Linked DNA regions of Stegostoma tigrinum. The protein of the gene in region 1 interacts with the protein of each later gene in a pairwise test. Links are inferred from orthologs where the notes say so. Each region holds a gene or a part of one and is shown on either strand. Other genes may lie near its edges. The genes, in order: plaa and ubxn1.

Region 1 (9,366 bases):
CCATAATCCCTCTCAACCCTTCCTATTCATATATCCATCTGGGTGCCTTTTAAATGTTGGAATTGTACCCATTTCCACCACTTTCTCTGGTAGCTTGTTCTATACATGCACACCTTCTGGCCTCCGTTTTAAATTTTTTCCCCCGTCACCTTAAACCTATACTCTCTAGTTCGTGTAAAAAGTTCATGCACCAGCGCAGCCTGCTGCTGGATCTCACTTGTCACATTCTGCAAAAACCTATATATACTGTTTTCTGCTGGGCCGCCAATCTACTATCCATGTTAATATGCAACCCCCTAAACATGAGCCTTTATTTTCCACAATGACTTTTCATGTGATACCTTAACAAATGCCTTCTGGAAATGCATGTATAGTCCACCTAAAGGGTCTCCTTTATCCACAATGAATGTTAGTCCTTCAGATATTTTCTAATCAATGTACTGAGAGGTGCCAGTTCACACCACTGGATTAGATGGGACTTCAACCTGGGCCTCCTCGCTCTGAGGTAGGGACTGCCACTGTGCCACAACAACCCTCATTATGTTACTTTTCCAATGAGCTCCAATCCTTGTGTATGTTTAAGGCTGAGATAGATTCTTGATCAGTAGAGGAATTTGAAGTTTATGGGGCAAAGGTCAGAATATAGGACATTACGTGTCATATCAAAGGTCATGGTGAAAAGGCAAGAAAGTGTGTGTGAAGAATGTCAGATCCAGAGTTAAGGGGAACTGGTCAGAAGTGTCAGATCAACTGTTACAAAGTGGCAGAAAAGTGGATGAGAGGATTGTTGGGTTGAGGATTACAGGGAGAGGGCAGAAAAGCGGGTGTGAAGAGTATGTCAAATTAAAGGTTGGGGAAAAAGGGCAGAAAATGAATGTGAGGAATGTTGGATAAAGAATTAAGGGATGTTATGACCTTGGTCAGAAAGTAAAAGAAAGCATACATAAGGTTTATGAGGATGCAAACTGATGAAGCCCCTTGAAGTTTATAAGTAGGGAAGAACTTAAACAAGGATTTAGAAGGGCTAAAAGCTGCCATGAAAAGTTGTGAGCGAACAGATTTAAGGAGAATCCCAAGGCTTTTTATACATATGGGAGCCAAAGCAAGGGTTGGCCCACTCAAGGACAAAGGAAGGAATCTACATGTGGAGAAGAGGTAGGTGATGTCCTAAATGAATACTTTGTGTCAGTATTCACCAAAGAGAAGGAACTGGTAGAGGATGCTGTCAGGGAAGGAAGTGGTGAGTTTCTAAACCAATTTGCTATCAAAACGGAAGAGGTGTCATTGTCTTATAAAGTATTAGGATAGATAAGTCCCCAAGTCCTAATGGGATCTGTCCCAGAATATTGAGGGGGAGGCAAGAGAATGAATTGCTGGAGCATTGACAGAGATGTTTGTATTCTCTTCGGCCACAGTTGAGGTCTTAGAGGACTGAAGAATAGCCAAAGTTGTCCCATTGCGTAAGAAGCGTAGCAAGGATAATCCTGGAAATTACAGACCTGGGAATCTCACATCACTGATAGGGAAATTATTGGAAAAAGCCTCAGGTTCAAGATTTATATGCATTTAGAAGCAAATGGACTTATTAGCGATAGACATCATTTGCGGGGCAAGTCATGCCTCACGAGCTTTATTGAGTTTTTTGAGGTGGCGATGAAGATGATTGATGAGGGAAAAGCAGTTAATGTTATCTACATGGACTTCAGTAAAGCCTTTGACAAGGTTCCTCCTCGCAGGCTGGTACAAAAGGTGAAGTCACATGGTGTAGGAGTGAGCTGGCAAGATGGATACAGAACGAGCTTCGTCATAGGAGACAAAGGGTAGCAGTGGAAGGATCCTTGTCAGAATGGAGGGTTGCGAGTGGTGGTGTTCAACAGGGATCAGTGCTGGGACCTCTGCTGTTCATGGTCTACATAAATTATTTGGAGGAAAATGGAGTTGGTCTAATTAATAAGTCTGCAGACAATACAAAGATTGGTGGAGTTAGGGATAGTGAGGAAGATTGTCATAGGATATAAATCAATTAGAGGCATAGACAGAAAAACAGACAAATGTGAGGTGATGCATTTTGGAAGGTCAAGTACAGGTGGAAATTATACACTGAATGGCAGAACCCTTAGGAGAATCGATATGCAGAGGGATCTGAGTGCACAGGTCCAACAGATCATTGAAGACGGGAGCACAGGCAGACAAGGTATTAAAAAGAAAGCTTATGGTATGCTTGCCTTCATTAGAAGGGGCACTGATTGTAATGATAGACAAGTTATGCTGCAGCTTAATAGAACTTTAAATAGGCTACACTTGAAACATTTTATACAGTTCTGGTCAGCACACTACCAGAAGGATGTGGATGCTTTGGAAGGGGTACAGAAAAGGATGTTCCCTGGTATGGGCAATTTTAGCTATGAAGCAAGGCTAGACAGACTGGGTTTGTTTTTGTTGGAACACAGGAGGTTGAGGGGCGACCCAATAACAAATTTATAAGATTGCGAATAGTATGGATAGGTGAAAAATATGACACCTTTTTTCCCCAGGGTGGAGGGGTCAATTACGAGGGAACATAGGTTCAAGATGCAAAGGGGTAAGTTTTTTTCACACAAAGGTGGTGAATGCCTGTAACATGTTGCCAGATGAGCTGGTCAAAGAAGACACAATAGCAGCATTTAAGAAGCATTTGGACGAGTACATGAATAGGAAGGAAATGGAGGGATATGGATCCTTTAAGTGAAGATAGTTTTAGAATGGAAGGGCAAATTGTGTCCCTGTAGGCTTGGAGGGCCGAAGGGCTTGTTCCTGCTCTGTATTGTTCTTTGATCTAAAAACCTAAAGAACTGCAGATGCTGTAAAGCAGGACCAAAAACAGAAGTTGCAAGAAAAGCTCAGCAGGTCTGGCAACATCTGTGAAGAAAACAAAATCAGTTAATGTTTCAGGTCTGGTGACCCCTCCTTAGAACTTGTTCTTTGTTCGTTCTAAGGCACGAAAGTGAACCTGAGTTTTGGATCTAGGGTTGGCGGGGGGGGGGGGGAGAAAAGGTATTAAAGTGGATGTGAAGAGCGTTGGATAAAGGGTTAAGAAGAAAAAGCCAGCAAAGTGGGCATGATAATAAAGTGTGAAGCTGGATGAACACAGCAGGCCAAGCAGCATCTCAGGAGCACAAAAGCTGACGTTTCGGGCCTAGACCCTTCATCAGAGAGGGGGATGGGGTGAGGGTTCTGGAATAAATAGAGAGAGAGGGGGAGACAGACCGAAGATGGAGAGAAAAGAAGATAGCTGGAGAGGAGAGTATGGGTGGGGAGGTAGGGAGGGGATAGGTCAGTCCAGGGAAGACGGACAGGTCAAGGAGGTGGGATGAGGTTAGTAGGTAGGAAATGGAGGTGCGGCTTGGGGTGGGAGGAAGGGATGGGTGAGAGGAAGAACAGGTTAGGGAGGCAGAGACAGGCTGGGCTGGTTTTGGGATGCAGTGGGTGGAGGGGAAGAGCTGGGCTGGTTGTGTGGTGCAGTGGGGGGAGGGGACGAACTGGGCTGGTTTTGGGATGCGGTAGGGGAAGGGGAGATTTTGAAGCTGGTGAAGTCCACATTGGTAACACTGGGCTGCAGGGTTCCCAGGCGGAATATGAGTTGCTGTTCCTGCGACCTTCGGGTGGCATCATTGTGGCACTGCAGGAGGCCCATGATGGACATGTCATTTGAGGAATGGGAGGGGGAGTGGAAATGGTTCGCGACTGGGACGTGCATGTAGCATGAGGAGTTTTCAACTTTGGAATGTGGGGATAAGGGCAGGAAAGTGGGCGTGAGGAGTTTTCGATTTAGGAATGTGGGAAAAGGCGGAGGAAAGTGGGTGTGAGGAATGTTGAATCAGCCACGATCCTACTGAATTGGGGGGGGGGGGGGGGTGGACAGGCTAGTGGGGCTGAATTCCTCGTGTTCCGATGTCTCCTGAGTTTTTACCTGGGCTCAGTCAGGATTGTGGGGACCGGGACGCTGGCTCCTAGTGGGTCGTGCGAGCCTCTAGATGTCGGTGCGGCCTCTTACCGCCCGCCCACAACACACCACAACCTTCCCCCTTTGTTTTTCCCCTCTCCTCACCAACAACTTTCCCGGTTTGTCACCGAAAACAAACGACGAAAATATCTTTTCCCAAAAACAAAAAAAACGGCGGAATGAAATGAGCACCTTTTTTGTGCACGCACTCCCCCACCCGCCGTCCTAAGTTTAACAGTCGGACATTGATTACGGTTACCATGGCGACGACCTCTGACCCGTCGATAATTGTTAACGTATTTGTTTTACAACTTAAGGTTAAAATGTGTATCTGTGTCCGCCTCCCTGTGTTTGTTTGGGGAGGTCTGAGGTGTTTTTTTGTTAAAAACATGTTATTCCTGACGGTTGGACAGGAAGGGGGAGGTGGTTCCCAGGAGGCCGCCCTGTTACCGGCGGACACTGCCAGGCCGACATGGCGTCGTCCGCCTACAGGCTCAGCTGCTCCCTCGCCGGGCATCAGATGGACGTCAGGGGGTTGGCTACCACCCTGTTCCCCGTCGGAGCCTTCGTGTCCGTGTCCAGGGACCGCACGGCCCGGGTCTGGGTGCCCAACAGGTAATCGAGAGTAAAGCCGTGAAGGTTACCCGGCGGCTGCTAGGCCCCGCCACAGGGAGCAGCACTCACTGATGAGTTGACAGTTTTCCGTTTGGAGCTGTGTGTGTGGTGCTTGGGGTGCAGGAATTCGGAGCGAGCTGGTATTGAGTGTAGGGGGCCTGTCGTTGGTAGAAAGCAAGCCTGATTTTTATGAAGCGTTCTTAGTTTAGCATTTAGGAGCCAACGTAAGGCCATAAGATCATAAGAAACAGGAACAGAGGTCCTCTGTCCAACCTCCTGCTCTGCCATTCAGTAAGATTGTGGCTGTTCCAGAATTCCTCGTTCGCTTTCCTGCCTTTTAACCCATAACCCTTGAGTTTGCTTACTAGTTAAGATCTATCTATCCCAGCGTTACATAGGCACAAGGATGCTTGCCCCCACAGATCTTTGTGGCAAAGACACTCCACCCTCTGAGAAGAAATTCTTCAATGGCCGGCTCTTGAATGAGGGGGCCATAGTTTTTGGATTAGAGGCAAGAGTTTTAAAAATATGGATGAGAAGAAAATACATCTCAAAGCCGTTGTGAATATATGGAATTCGCTACGCTCGAGTTTATAGATTTTTCTACACTAGTCCTGCACTCCTTGATTCTCCTCTGTATTCAAAAATGTTTTGATATTTGACTTGGACACAGTCATCATGTATCCAGTGTAAAATTCCAAAGATTCACTGTCCTTTGAAGGAATAGACTTCGTTCCACTTTTCAGTCCCAAATGTGTAATCTACTTTGAGTAACCTTAAAAAGAGGAGATTCTAATTTAAAATCAAATCTTAATGAGTTGAAGGATTGTGGAGAGCAGGCAGAAAAGTGGAGTAGGGGTTAAGATGATATCAGTTATGATTGCATCAAATGGAGGAACAGGCTCAAAGTGCTGAGTTTCCTATTTCTGCTCTGAGCTCTATGTATTCTGTGTTCTTGTCTACTGTGTACAGATTTATTTACTTTTTTTCTTTTTTGTAGCAAACTTTTAACATTGGAGCCTTTACCTTTACTTACTATATCTCAATGTTCTTCATGGATGTGTTCTTAAAATTGGACACTGAACCAAATAAGGGGATATTAGGGCAGGTGATCAAAGGTTTTATCAGGGCTGTAAGGGTTAAGTGTCTGGAAAAAGAGAACTTTAGATCATGGTCATGGCATTGTAAAGCATATCAGTTAGTGGAGTGAATTTGTTAACTGGAGTGCAGTAAATCAGAATTGCAGGAGATATAGTGAAGATAGAGAACTACACAGATTTGAAACACTTATGAATACAATATAAAATAGCAGGAGTCGGCAATGCGCCTTTTTGTGTCAGCTCCTTCATTCAATAAGATCATAATTGAGGGTGCCTAATGCTTGATTTGTCTTGACTTTCCCTTCCAGCAATACCTCGATGTTCCGTAATTCCTTTTGTATCCAAAAATCTATTTGATCTTTATTCTGAGTATATTCATCTAATTTGACCTACTTGTTGCAGTCCTAAATGATTAAACTTTTTTTTTGAGACCATGAACCCGACTTCTGGACTCTTCAATCAATGCAGATATCCTGCCAGCATTTATCTGGTTGGTCCCTTAAGAATTTTATTCCGTCTCCGTGAGATCAGCTCTCGTTCTTCTAAAGTTTATGGAATATTGATTTTAAGTAGACTCAATCTGTTCTCTTTGGATGATCTTATCATCCCTGAAACCAGTTTAGGAAACAAGACCAAAACTGTGCTCAGGTGCTTATGAAGGTGCGATACAATTGCAGTGAAACTTCATAGTTTTTTATTCCGATCACTGTTATAAAAGGTGCTACATCATTTGCTATGGTAGCGCTTACTATACTGTGTGCGGATTTTAACAGTATGCTTTGTGGACAAGGACATTCGAATTAATCTGAAAACCAACATCATCTAGTCTGTCCTCCCCAGACTGACCTATCCCCTCCCTACCTCCCCGCCTATACTCATCTCTACAGGTTCCATCTCCGATCCTTTAACTTGTCTGTTTCCTCTCTACCTATCTTCCCCTCTATCTATCTTGATCTACGTTTCTCCCCCCCCCCCCCCCATTTATTTCAGAACCCTCTCCCCATTCCCCTTTTCTGATGAAGGGTCTAGGCCTGAAACGTCAGCTTTTGTGCTCCTAAGATGCTGCTTAGCCTGCTGCGTTCATCCAGTTCCACACTTTGTTATCTTGGATTCTCCAGCAACTGCAGTTCCCATTATCTCTCACCTAGTTTCTAACTCTCTCACTTCTCATGCTATTACACTTTGCTATGTTCGTACCGGTTCACTTACCCTGTCTATTATCCTTTGCAGCACACATTCTACCTAATATCGCTAGAAAACTTGGATAATTACTAGTTATTGACTTAGATTGCAAATACAGCCAAGAATTTTAAAATTGAGGTGATTCTGAGCTGGGAGCCATTGTAAATCAGTGAGCATAGGTAAATGAGATTTTGTGCACTTTAGGATATGGGCAGTAGAAATTTGCACGATCTCAAATTTACAAGAGAGGAGAAAGCTGGAGACCAGCCAGAGACGTATTTGAATAGTCAACTGTAAAGGTAACACATGCTTGGATGAGATCTTCTGTAGCTGATGAAAAGGCATGGTTGGGAGTAGGGGAAGCATCGTGCAGTGCTTTGCAGGTTGGAATAGTCATCTGTGTAATGGTAAGCATATGTTCAGAAGCTCACCTTGGCTTCAGATATGGTGCCAAGATGCCAAACTTTGAGTCTCAAATATTTACAAAGGAGAGGGATGGGGTCAATGGAGGGAAAATAAGTTTTTAGCTTGTTTTCAAAGCAATGGCTCCAATTTTCTCGGTATTTACATTGAGGTAATTCTTGCTCACCTTATATCAGATATCAAGCACACAAATTTAGATACTTTTGAGGCGTCATAAAGAGTTGCAACACGGCAGGGCTCACTGTAAATACAAAAGTGAAAACTGACAGTCATCTTCAGATAATTCTGCTGTGGATCAACATTTAGGTAAATAATCAACTATCTTTTTGAGGTCTTCAGTTTAGTTTTAGTTTTGATCTTAAATCTGAAGCTTGAACAAAAACATAATGGAAAGTGTCCTTGGGCAATTAATATATTTGAACAAGCTCGCTTCTTTTGCATTCAAAATGATTCATTGGGTAAACTGATAATTTATACTATTGGTTCAGGACTGAGCTCCATAGCTCAGACGAAGTCCAGTTTGATCCCAAGTTTGTGATTTAAGTTGATATTTGCTGAGCCAGATTGGATTGAGTATCTTCTTGTGGAAAACATTTATTTGAACTCCTATAGTTAATGGTTATTCTGTGATCCATTCCTTAAGAATGTAGATGAAGAAAAGCACATTGACAGGTCTGTTTTCCAAGCAATTCAAGTTTGGTGATTTTCTTTTAAGAAAAGGTCAAAAGATTAATTTTTAGCTTATGAAAATGCAAGGCTGAAGAAGAAGAAATTCACCAAGGCTCTTCTGACAGCACATTCCAAACCATTGATAGCTGCAATCTAGAGTGTCAAGCGCAGATATGTGGGAACATCATAGCCTGTATGTTCCCCCTCAAGCTGCTCACCTGTGTGATTTGGACATTTTTTACCATTCATTCACTGTCATTGGCTCAAAATTCTGAATCCTGACCTGTAACAACACTATAATTGTGTACCTCACAGCAAATGCATTGCTGTGATGCAAGAAATCCTCTCACAACCAGCTTCTGAGCGCAATTAGGGATGGGAAATAAAGTGCTCAGCCAGCTCTCATCCTCCATGAATGAAAAATCATGATACTCTAATCTTGACGTTTTGCATATTTTAACACTAGTTTTGTGAAGTTTGTGAAACCTTTAACATTGTTGAGATTGCAGTAAATATATTTTATTTAACTTATCTGTCTCATTATTGTTGCTTTTGAATCCTGCATACATGTCCTGAATACAGACATTGAGAAACGAAATACTGTTAAAATGAGGAAGAGGAAGGATTGATGTTTTCATGCAATCACTTTCATCACTGATTTGCTGCACTTAACATTCAATCTGATAGACGGTTGAAACGTTGACATTGCACATTGGTATGTCAGGATAAATGCATTTGAATGCATTATGCCTCGATGTACCTCTTTGATCCATCCATCCCGTTGACTCACTCGATGACATTAAATCACTTTGCCCGTCGCAATTTGAAAGGACTGTGGCTGTCTGTCCTGTCAGGATGTGTTCCTGACTACCTCCATTCCTTGTTTGCCTCTTCTATACTACATGAGCTGTCTCTGAAAATGTTGTCTGTGTTTATTGAACAGTATAGATGTTTTTTTTTGTTTGCCGATCCCTTCAACTTGCTTTCCTCTTCTGCTTTGACAGTTTAAGTGGAAATCTATGTTATTGGCTCAGTACAAATACCTGGTAGCCTTCTATCTAAATGTTTTTGTCTGCTCCATTAAGAATTTTAAGTGGAGGATGCTGAGACTGCAAATAACATTTGCATTTTATTCGAATTCTGCCTTATGTCACATTTAGAGTGAGGCCTGTTTTTACAGCTTACTGAAGTTGTAATTGTATGACTGGAGTAGAATGGATTTTAAAATTTAGTTACACATTAGTTTCAACAACCCTTCCTCCAGATGTGTCTGTACTTCGGCTACAGTAAACCTGCCTCCAGAAATTCTGAAGGATCATTGGATCCAAAATGTTAACTGCTTTTTCTCTATAGATGCTACCAGACCTGCTGAGCTTTCCCAGCAATTTCTGGATT
Region 2 (9,366 bases), on another chromosome or scaffold:
GAGTGCTGAGGGAGCGGGCATTGTCGGAGGGTGAGTGCTGAGGGAGCGGGCATTGTCGGAGGGTGAGTGCTGCGGGAGCGGGCACTGTCGGACGGTCAGTGCTAAGGGAGCGGGCACTGTCGGATGGTCAGTGCTGAGGGAGCGGGCACTGTCGGAGGGTCAGCGCTGAGGGAGCGGGCACTGTCAGTGGGTCAGCACTGAGGGAGCGGGCACTGTTGGAGGGTCAGTGCTGAGGGAGCGGGCACTGTCGGAGGGTCAGTGCTGAAGGAGCGGGCACTGTCGGAGGGTCAGTGCTAAGGGAGCGGGCATTTGGAGGGTGAGCGCTGAGGGAGCGGGCACTGTCGGAGGGTCAGCGCTAAGGGAGCGGGCACTGTCAGAGGGTCAGTGCTGAGGGAGCCAGCATTGTCCAAGGGTCAGCGCTGATGGAGCAGGCACAGTCAGATGGTCAGTGCTGAGGGAGCGGGCACTGTTGGAGGGTCATTGCTGTGGGAGTGGGCAATGTCCGAGGGTCATTGCTGAGGGAGCAGGAACTGTCGGAGGGTCAGTGCTGAGGGAGCGGGCATTGTCGGATGGTCAGCGCTGAGGGAGTGGGCACTGTCGGAAGTTCAGCGCTGAGGGTGTGCCGCACTGTGGGAGGGTTAGGGCTGAGGGAGAGGGCACTGTTGGAGGGTCAGTGCTGAGGGAGCGGGCACTGTCGGATGGTCAGTGGTCAAGGAGAGGGCACTGGATGGTCAGTGCTGAGGGAGCAGGCACCGTCGGAGGGTCAATGATGAGTGACTGGGCACTGTTGGAGGGTGAGCGCAGAGAGAGCAGGCACTGTCGGAGGGTCAGTGCTGAGCGAGCGGGCACTGTCGGAGGGTCAGTGCTGAGGGAGCGGGCATTGTTGGAGGGTCAGCGCAGAGAGAGCGGGCACTGTCGGAGGGTCAGTGCTGAGCGAGCAGGCACCCTCGGAGGGTCAGTGCTGAGGGAGGGGGCACTGTCGGAGGGTCATTGCTGAGGGAGCGGGCACTGTCTGAGTGTCAGTGCTGAGAGAGCGGGCGCTGTCGGAGGGTCAGTGCTGAGGGAGCCGGCATTGTCGGAGGGTCAGTGCTGAGGGAGCGGGCACTGTCGGAGGGTCAGTGCTGAGGGAGCGGGCACTGTCAGAGGGTCAGCGCTGAGGGAGTGGGCACTGTCGGAGGGTCAGTGCTGAGGGAGCGGGCACTGTCGGAGGGTCACTGCTGAGGGAGCGCCGCACTGTGGGAGGGTTAGCGCTGAGGGGGTGGGCACTGTCAGAGGGTTAGCGCTGAGGGAGTGGGCACTGTCGGAGGGTTAGCGCTGAGGGAGTGGGCACTGTCAGAGGGTTAGCGCTGAGGGAGCGGGCACTGCCGGAGGATCAGTGCTGAGGGAGCGGGCACTGTCTGAGGGTCAGTACAGGGGGAGCAGGCACTGTCAGAGGGTCAGTGCTGAGGAAACGGGCACCGGAGTGTCAGTGGTGAGGGAATGGGCGCTGTCGGAGCTGCTTATGTGTGTTGTCTAAGTCTTGTGCCTGAGCATTTTGTACTGGGTGGGTGGGGGAGGGAGACTCATTCTGTCTTATCGGCTTTGGGTCAGTGTTATCTCTGACCTGTGACTGCCTGTGGTAGATTGATGCTAAATGTTGTCCCGTACACTTACAGTTCCAACTCACATAAATACAGAGCAAGGCATGGTTTCTTCATGGTCTCTCGCACATTACTTCAAATGTTACGGTTATACCATGGTACTTATGACGCTATTCTGATGTTTATTGTCACTCCCTTCGCATTTCCGTCATGTTTTCCACAAACAGAACTTAGCGTGATTGCAGGAGACACAGTGTGGAGAGAGAGAGAGAGGGACAGTTGGTTGCCTGCGAAAGCTCCACTTGTATCATGCCTGCTCTCTCCAGTTCATCTGCGCACACTGCTTTAACTCCTAGCTGTTTAAACTGTGCTTACCATGCATGTCAGGTCGTTTTTTTTGAACCATAGCCCATGGCTTGAAATCTGGCACCGATCTCTCCTCTGGAGACTGCCGCATCTCTAACTCCCAATGCAGACCTTGACATCTCCCGCCCAGGTTTGCCCGCTCATTGTTTCTCATCGTTTGGGGTCTTCTGCTGACTTCACCGACCTATCTGCGCCGTTGCACTGAGAGAGAGACAGACAGCATTGAGCCTCAGGAATATGTAAAAAATCATATTACCTGGAGGTTTGAAGATCTGTGAGGGTAAGGCCAGGCTAACAGTGATGGCATTGCTGTTACTCAAAGGGCTAGAAGTGAGGGGCGAAAGGGCTGAATGACCAAAGGTTGCCCAAGGTTTGGTTGCCACCTGAGGACAGGCCATACCCCACCCACTGATTGACAGGAGACTCCATTTCCCACCCAGATACTGTACTCCAGCACTGATCCACCGGACCCCAACCCCTCATCATAAGCCCCTCCTACTCCATCTGAGACCCTCCCCCTCACTCTGAGACTCTCCCCTTCACTCTGAGATCCTCTCTCTGAGACCCTCCCCCTCACTCTGAGACTCTCCCCTTCACTCTGAGATCCTCTCTCTGAGACCCTCCCCCTCACTCTGAGACTCTCCCCTTCACTCTGAGATCCTCTCTCTGAGACCCTCCCCCTCACTCTGAGACTCTCCCCTTCACTCTGAGATCCTCTCTCTGAGACCCTCCCCCTCACTCTGAGACACCCTCTCTCTGAGACTCTCCCCCTCACTCTGAGACACCCTCTCTCTGAGACTCTCCCCCTCACTCTGAGACACCCTCTCTCTGAGACTCTCCCCCTCACTGTGAGACCCTTCTCTATCTCTCTTAGACCCTCCCTCTCTGAGAGTCTCATTCTCCCTCTTTGACCCTTCTCTCTCACTCCGAGCCTCTCCCCTTCATTCTGAGACCCTCCCACTCACTCTGAGACACCGTGTCTCTCTGAGACTCTCGCACTCACTGAGACCCTTCCCCTCACTCTGAGACTCTCCCCTTCACTCTGAGATGCTCTCTGAGACCCTCCCCCTCACTCTGAGACACCCTCTCTCTGAGACTCTCGCACTCAGAGACCCTTCCCCTCTCTCTGAGACCCTCCCCCTCACTGTGAGGCCCTTCTTTATCTCTCTTAGACCCTCCCTCTCTGAGACTCTTATCCTCACTCTGTGACCCTTCTCTCTCACTCCGAGAACCCCTCTCTCACTTTGAGCCTCTCCCCCTCATTCTGAGACCCTCTGTCTCCAAGACCCTATATCACTCTAAACACGGATAATGGGAACTGCAGATGCTGGTGAATCCAAGACGAGATTTCATATTTTTGAGCAAACTTTATATGCAAAGCATTAAAAAGTAAATTGTTGTAACGTAACACTGTGTAGTTTAAAAATTTGAGTACATATGAACATAGAAAGTAAGAGCAGGAAAAGGCAGCTTGCCCCCTTGAGCTTGCCCTGTCATTCGGTAAGCATGTTTTTGATTCCTCCACAAGTGGCTATTAGATAGACATATGGATGATAGTATAACATAGGGGTGGAGGTTCAATAGACCTTAGGATTAGAGTAAAAGTTCGGCACAACATCGTGGGCTGAAGTGCTGTATTGTTCTATGTTCTATATAACAAAGTGTGAGGCTGGATGAACACAGCAGGCCAAGCAGCATCTCAGAAGCACAAAAGCTGACGTTTCGGGCCTAGACCCTTCATCAGAGAGGGGGATGGGGAGAGGGAACTGGAATAAATAGGGAGAGAGGGGGAGGCGGACCGAAGATGGAGAGAAAAGAAGATAGGTGGAGAGAGTGTAGGTGGGGAGGTAGGGAGGGGATAGGTCAGTCCAGGGAAGACGGACAGGTCAAGGAGGTGATGAAGGGTCTAGGCCCGAAACGTCAGCTTTTGTGCTCCTGAGATGCTGCTTGGCCTGCTGTGTTCATCCAGCCTCACACTTTGTTATCACTCTAAACACCATCTCTTTCTCTCTCAGTCCCTCACACTAAACACCACACAATCCACACCCATTCCACAAACCCCCATTCTAAATTCCACCCCCTCTCTAAACCCCTTCATTCCCTCTAAACCCCCTCACTCCGCCCTGATTAAGCCCCAATCACACTAAGCCTTTCCTCACCTTCATGCCCCTCTCCCCTAATTCCCAAACCCCTCACTAAAACCCCCACCCTCAACCCTGCCCATCCCCAAGCCTCTCCACACTGTAAGACCCACCCCACACTGTAAGCCACACCCACTTTTCATGCCCCTCCCCACACTGTGAGCCGCACTGCACATAGTAAGCTCCTCCCCACATGGCAAGCCCCTCCCCACACGGTGAGCCGCGTGCGGATAGTAATCCCCGCCCCACGCTGTAAGCCACACCCCTACGGCAGGACCCTCGCCTCCCTGTACTCCCTACCACACGCGAAGGGCCGGAGTGCCCATAGTAAGCCCCGCCCCACACTGTAAGCCACACCCCCACATGGTAAGCCCCGCCGCACACTGTAAGCCCCTCCCCACACTGCGTCGGCCTGCCCATAGTAAACTCCGCCCCACAATGTAAGCCACACCCCCACATGGTAAGCTCCACCCCACACAGTAAGCCCCGCCCCGCACGGTGTGCCGCACTGCACATAGTAAGCCCCACCCCCTACACACGGTAAGAGCCAACCAACCGTAAACCCCAACCCGCCATAAGCTCCGCCCCTTCCCACCCTAAGCCCCTCCCCCTCACGGTGAGCCTGTCTCTCCGGTTACCGGGTGGTGAAGCTGAGCAGACCTCCCCGACACACACCCTCACACACATTCCCCACCCCCACAGCCTGTGGGTGATGACTGGAGCCCGCCTCTTGCTGCTGAGCCCGGGATCCGTGTGAAAACCTCCCGCTCGCCCGCCGCCGGGCCGTAGGAAACACCGAGGCTTCGGAGCTGCAGGTAGGCCCGAGGCGGAGGGGTCTGGGGAATGTGCTGCAGGAATTACCCATTCACTCCCGATTAAACCACAGGATGGGTCACCATCCCTCACACAGAGAGAAAATAAACCCCCCACCCCCACGGACAAAACCAGACCCTGACACAGGGCTGTGGGTTACAACACCTTCACAGCCCCCACCCCACACACCCCCCACCCCACACACACCCCCCCACCGCACACACACCCCCCCCACCCCACCCCACCCCACACACACCCCCACCACACACAACCCCCCACCCCACACAACCGCCCACCCCACACACACCCCCACAACCCCCCACCCACACACACCCCCACCACCCCCCACCCACACACACCCCCACCCCACACACCCCCCACCACACACACACCCCCCACCCCACACAACCCCCCACCACACACACCCCCACCCCACACTCACCCCCCCACCACCCCACCCCACCCCACCCCACACACCTCCCACCCCACACACCTCCCACCCCACACACACACCCCCACCCCACCCCACCCCACCCCACCCACCCACACACCCCACCCCACCCCACCCACCCACACACCCCACCCCACCCACACACCCCACACACACCCCCCACCCCACACTCACCCCCCACCCCACCCCACACTCACCCCCCCACCCCACCCCACCCCACCCCACCCCACACCACCCCACCCCACACCACACACCCCCCACCCCACCCCACACACACCCCACCCCACCCCACACACACCCCACCCCACCCCACACACACCCCACCCCACCCCACACACACCCCACACCCCACCACCCCACCCCACACACACCCCCCACCCCACCACCCCACCCCACCCCACCACCCCACCCCACACACACCCCCCACCCCACCCCACCACCCCACCCCACCACCCCACCCCACCACCCCACCACCCCACCCCAACACCCCCCCACCCCACCACACCACCCCCCCACCCCACACACACCCCCCAACCCACCCCCCCACCCCACACTCACCCCCCCACCCCACACTCACCCCCCCACCCCACACTCGCCCCCCCACCCCACACTCGCCCCCCCACCCCACCCCACACTCGCCCCCCCCCACCCCACCCCACACTCGCCACCCCACACTCACCCCCCGCCCCACACCCCCGCCCCATACACCCCCGCCCCATACACCCCCGCCCCATACACACCCCCGCCCCATACACACCCCCGCCCCATACACCCCCCCACCCCAAACACCCCCCCACCCCAAACACCCGCTCACCATCACCCCCACCCCATACAGCCCCTCACCTTGACCCCCACCCCATACAGCCCCCCACCCCATACACCCCCTCACCCCATACACCCCCTCATCATCACCCGCGCCCCATACACCCCCCCACCCCATACAGCCCCACACCCCATACACCCCCTCATCATCACCCCCCGCCCCATACACCCCCTCATCATCACCCCCCGCCCCGTGCACCCCCCCGCCCCGTGCACCCCCCCCGCCCCGTGCACACACCCCCCCGCCCCGTGCGCACCCCCCCCGCCCCGTGCGCACCCCCCCCGCCCCGTGCGCACCCCCCCCGCCCCGTGCGCACCCCCCCCGCCCCGTGCGCACCCCCCCCCGCCCCCGTGCGCACCCCCCCCCGCCCCGTGCGCACCCACACCCGCCCCGTGCGCACCCACCCCGCCCCGTGCGCACCCCCCCGCCCCGTGCGCACCCCCCCCCGCCCCGTGCGCACCCCCCCCCGCCCCGTGCGCACCCCCCCCCCGCCCCGTACGCACACCCCCCGCCCCGTACGCACACCCCCCCGCCCCGCCCCGTACACCCCCCGCCCCGCCCCGTACACCCCCCCCGCCCCGCCCCGTACACCCCCCCCCCGCCCCGTACACCCCCCCCCGCCCCGTACACCCCCCCCGCCCCGCCCCGTACACCCCCCCCGCCCCGCCCCGTACACCCCCCCCGCCCCGTACACCCCCCCCGCCCCGTACACCCCCCCCGCCCCGTACACCCAACCCCCGCCCCGTACACCCAACCCCCGCCCCGTACACCCAACCCCGCCCCGTACACCCAACCCCGCCCCGTACACCCAACCCCGCCCCGTACACCCAACCCCTAACACTCCCACGCCCTACACCCCCTCACCATCACCCCTACCCCAAACATCCCACCCCATACACCCCACCCCATACACCCCACCCCATACACCCCACCCCATACACCCCACCCCATACACCCCCCCTTACACCCCCCCGCCCCTTACACCACCCCGCCCCTTACACCCCCCCGCCCGTTACACCCCCCCGCCCGTTACACCCCCCCGCCCGTTACACCCCCACGGCCCGTTACACCCCCCCGCCACATACACCCCCCCGCCACATACACCCCCCCGCCCCATACACCCCCCGCCCCATACAGCCCCTCACCATCACCCCCACCCCATACACTCCCTCACCCCATACACTCCCTCACCCCATACACTCCTTCACCATCACCCCCACCCCATACACCCCCCCACCTCATACACCCCCCCAACTCATACACCCCCCCACCATCACCCCCACCCCATACACCCCCCCACCCCATACACCCCCCCACCCCATACACCCCATACACCCCATACACCCCCCCCACCCCATACACCCCCCCCACCCCATACACCCCCCCCACCCCATACACCCTCCACCATCACCCCCACCCCATACAACCCCACCTATACACCCACCACCCCATACACCCCCTCACCTTGACCCCACCCCATACAGCCCCTCACCGTGACCCCACCCCATACAGCCCCCCACCCCATACAGCCCCCCACCCCATACACCAACTCATCATCACCCCCGCCCCGTACACGCCCCCCCGCCCCGTACACCCCCCCCCGCCCCGTACACCCCCCCCGCCCCGCACACCCCCCCGCACACCCCCCCCGCCCCGTACACTCCCCCCCGCCCCATACACCCCCCCCGCCCCGTACACCCCCCCCGCCCCGTACACCCCCCCCGCCCCGTACACCCCCCCCCCGCCCCGTACACCCCCCCCCGCCCCGTACACCCCCCTCCGCCCCGTACACCCCCCTCCGCCCCGTACACCCCCCCCCGCCCCGTACGCCCCCCCCGCCCCGTACACCCCCCCCCCCGCCCCGTACGCCCCCCCCGCCCCGTACGCCCCCCCCGCCCCGTACGCCCCCCCCCGCCCCGTACACCCCCCCCCCCGCCCCGTACACCCCCCCCCCCGCCCCGTACACCCCCCCCGCACACTCCCCCCGCCCCGCACACTCCCCCCGCCCCGTACACTCCCCCCGCCCCGTACACTCCCCCCCGCCCCGTACACTCCCCCCCCGCCCCGTATACCCCCCCCCGCCCCGTATACCCCCCCCGCCCCGTATACCCCCCCCGCGCACCCCCCCGCCCCATACACCCCCCCCCGTACACCCCCCCCCGCCCCGTACACCGCCCCGCCCCGCCCCGCCCCGTACACACCCCCCCCGCCCCGTACACACCCCCCCCGCCCCGTACACCCCCCCCGCCCCGTACACCCCCCCCCGCCCCGTACACCCCCCTCCGCCCCGTACACCCCCCCCCGCCCCGTACACCCCCCCCGCCCCGTACACCCCCCCCCGCCCCGTACACCCCCCCCCGCCCCGTACACCCCCCCCCCGCCCCGTACACCCCCCCCCCGCCCCGTACACCCCCCCCCGCCCCGTACACCCCCCCCGCCCCGTACACCCCCCCCGCCCCGTACACCCCCACCCCGCCCCGTACACCCCCACCCCGCCCCGTACACCCCCACCCCGCCCCGTACACCCCCACCCCATCACCCCCACCCCATCACCCCCACCCCATCACCCTCCCCCACCCCCACCCCCACCCCATACACCCCCACCCCCACCCCATACACCCCCACCCCCACCCCATACACCCCCACCCCATACATCCCCACCCCCACCCCCACCCCATACACCCCCACCCCATACATCCCCACCCCCACCCCCACCCCATACACCCCCACCCCCACCCCCACCCCCACCCCCACCCCCACCCCCACCCCAAACACCCCCCCACCCCAAACACCCCCCCACCCCAAACACCCCCCCACCCCAAACAACCCCCCACCCCAAACAACCCCCACCCCAAACAACCCCCACCCCAAACAACCCCCACCCCAAACACCCGCTCACCATCACCCCCACCCCAAACACCCGCTCACCATCACCCCCACCCCATACAACCCCACCCATACACCCACCACCCCATACACCCCCTCACCTTGACCCCCGCCCCATACTCCCCCCGCCCCATACTCCCCCCGCCCCATAATCCCCCCGCCCCATAATCCCCCCGCCCCATACACACCCTCACTATACACCCCCACCCCGTACACCCCCTCACCATCACCCCCACCCCATACACGCCCTCACCATCACCCCCACCCCATACACGCCCTCACCATCACCCCCCACCCCATACACCC

Evidence for each region.
Region 2: the proteins of plaa (region 1) and ubxn1 interact in binary tests that used the Homo sapiens proteins (3 or more experiments, as listed by UniProt). The two-hybrid records come from large-scale screens. The link is inferred for Stegostoma tigrinum from reciprocal best matches to the Homo sapiens genes PLAA and UBXN1.

The regions. Positions count from the first base shown.
Region 1 is NC_081356.1:6,065,138-6,074,503, forward strand, and holds the start of plaa (phospholipase A-2-activating protein), read left to right. Parts: upstream 1-4,419; 5' UTR 4,420-4,454; coding exon 4,455-4,597; intron 4,598-9,366. UniProt on the Homo sapiens protein: Plays a role in protein ubiquitination, sorting and degradation through its association with VCP. Involved in ubiquitin-mediated membrane proteins trafficking to late endosomes in an ESCRT-dependent manner, and hence plays a role in synaptic vesicle recycling.
Region 2 is NC_081395.1:4,325,278-4,334,643, reverse strand, and holds the start of ubxn1 (UBX domain-containing protein 1), read left to right. Parts: upstream 1-4,669; 5' UTR 4,670-4,902; intron 4,903-9,366.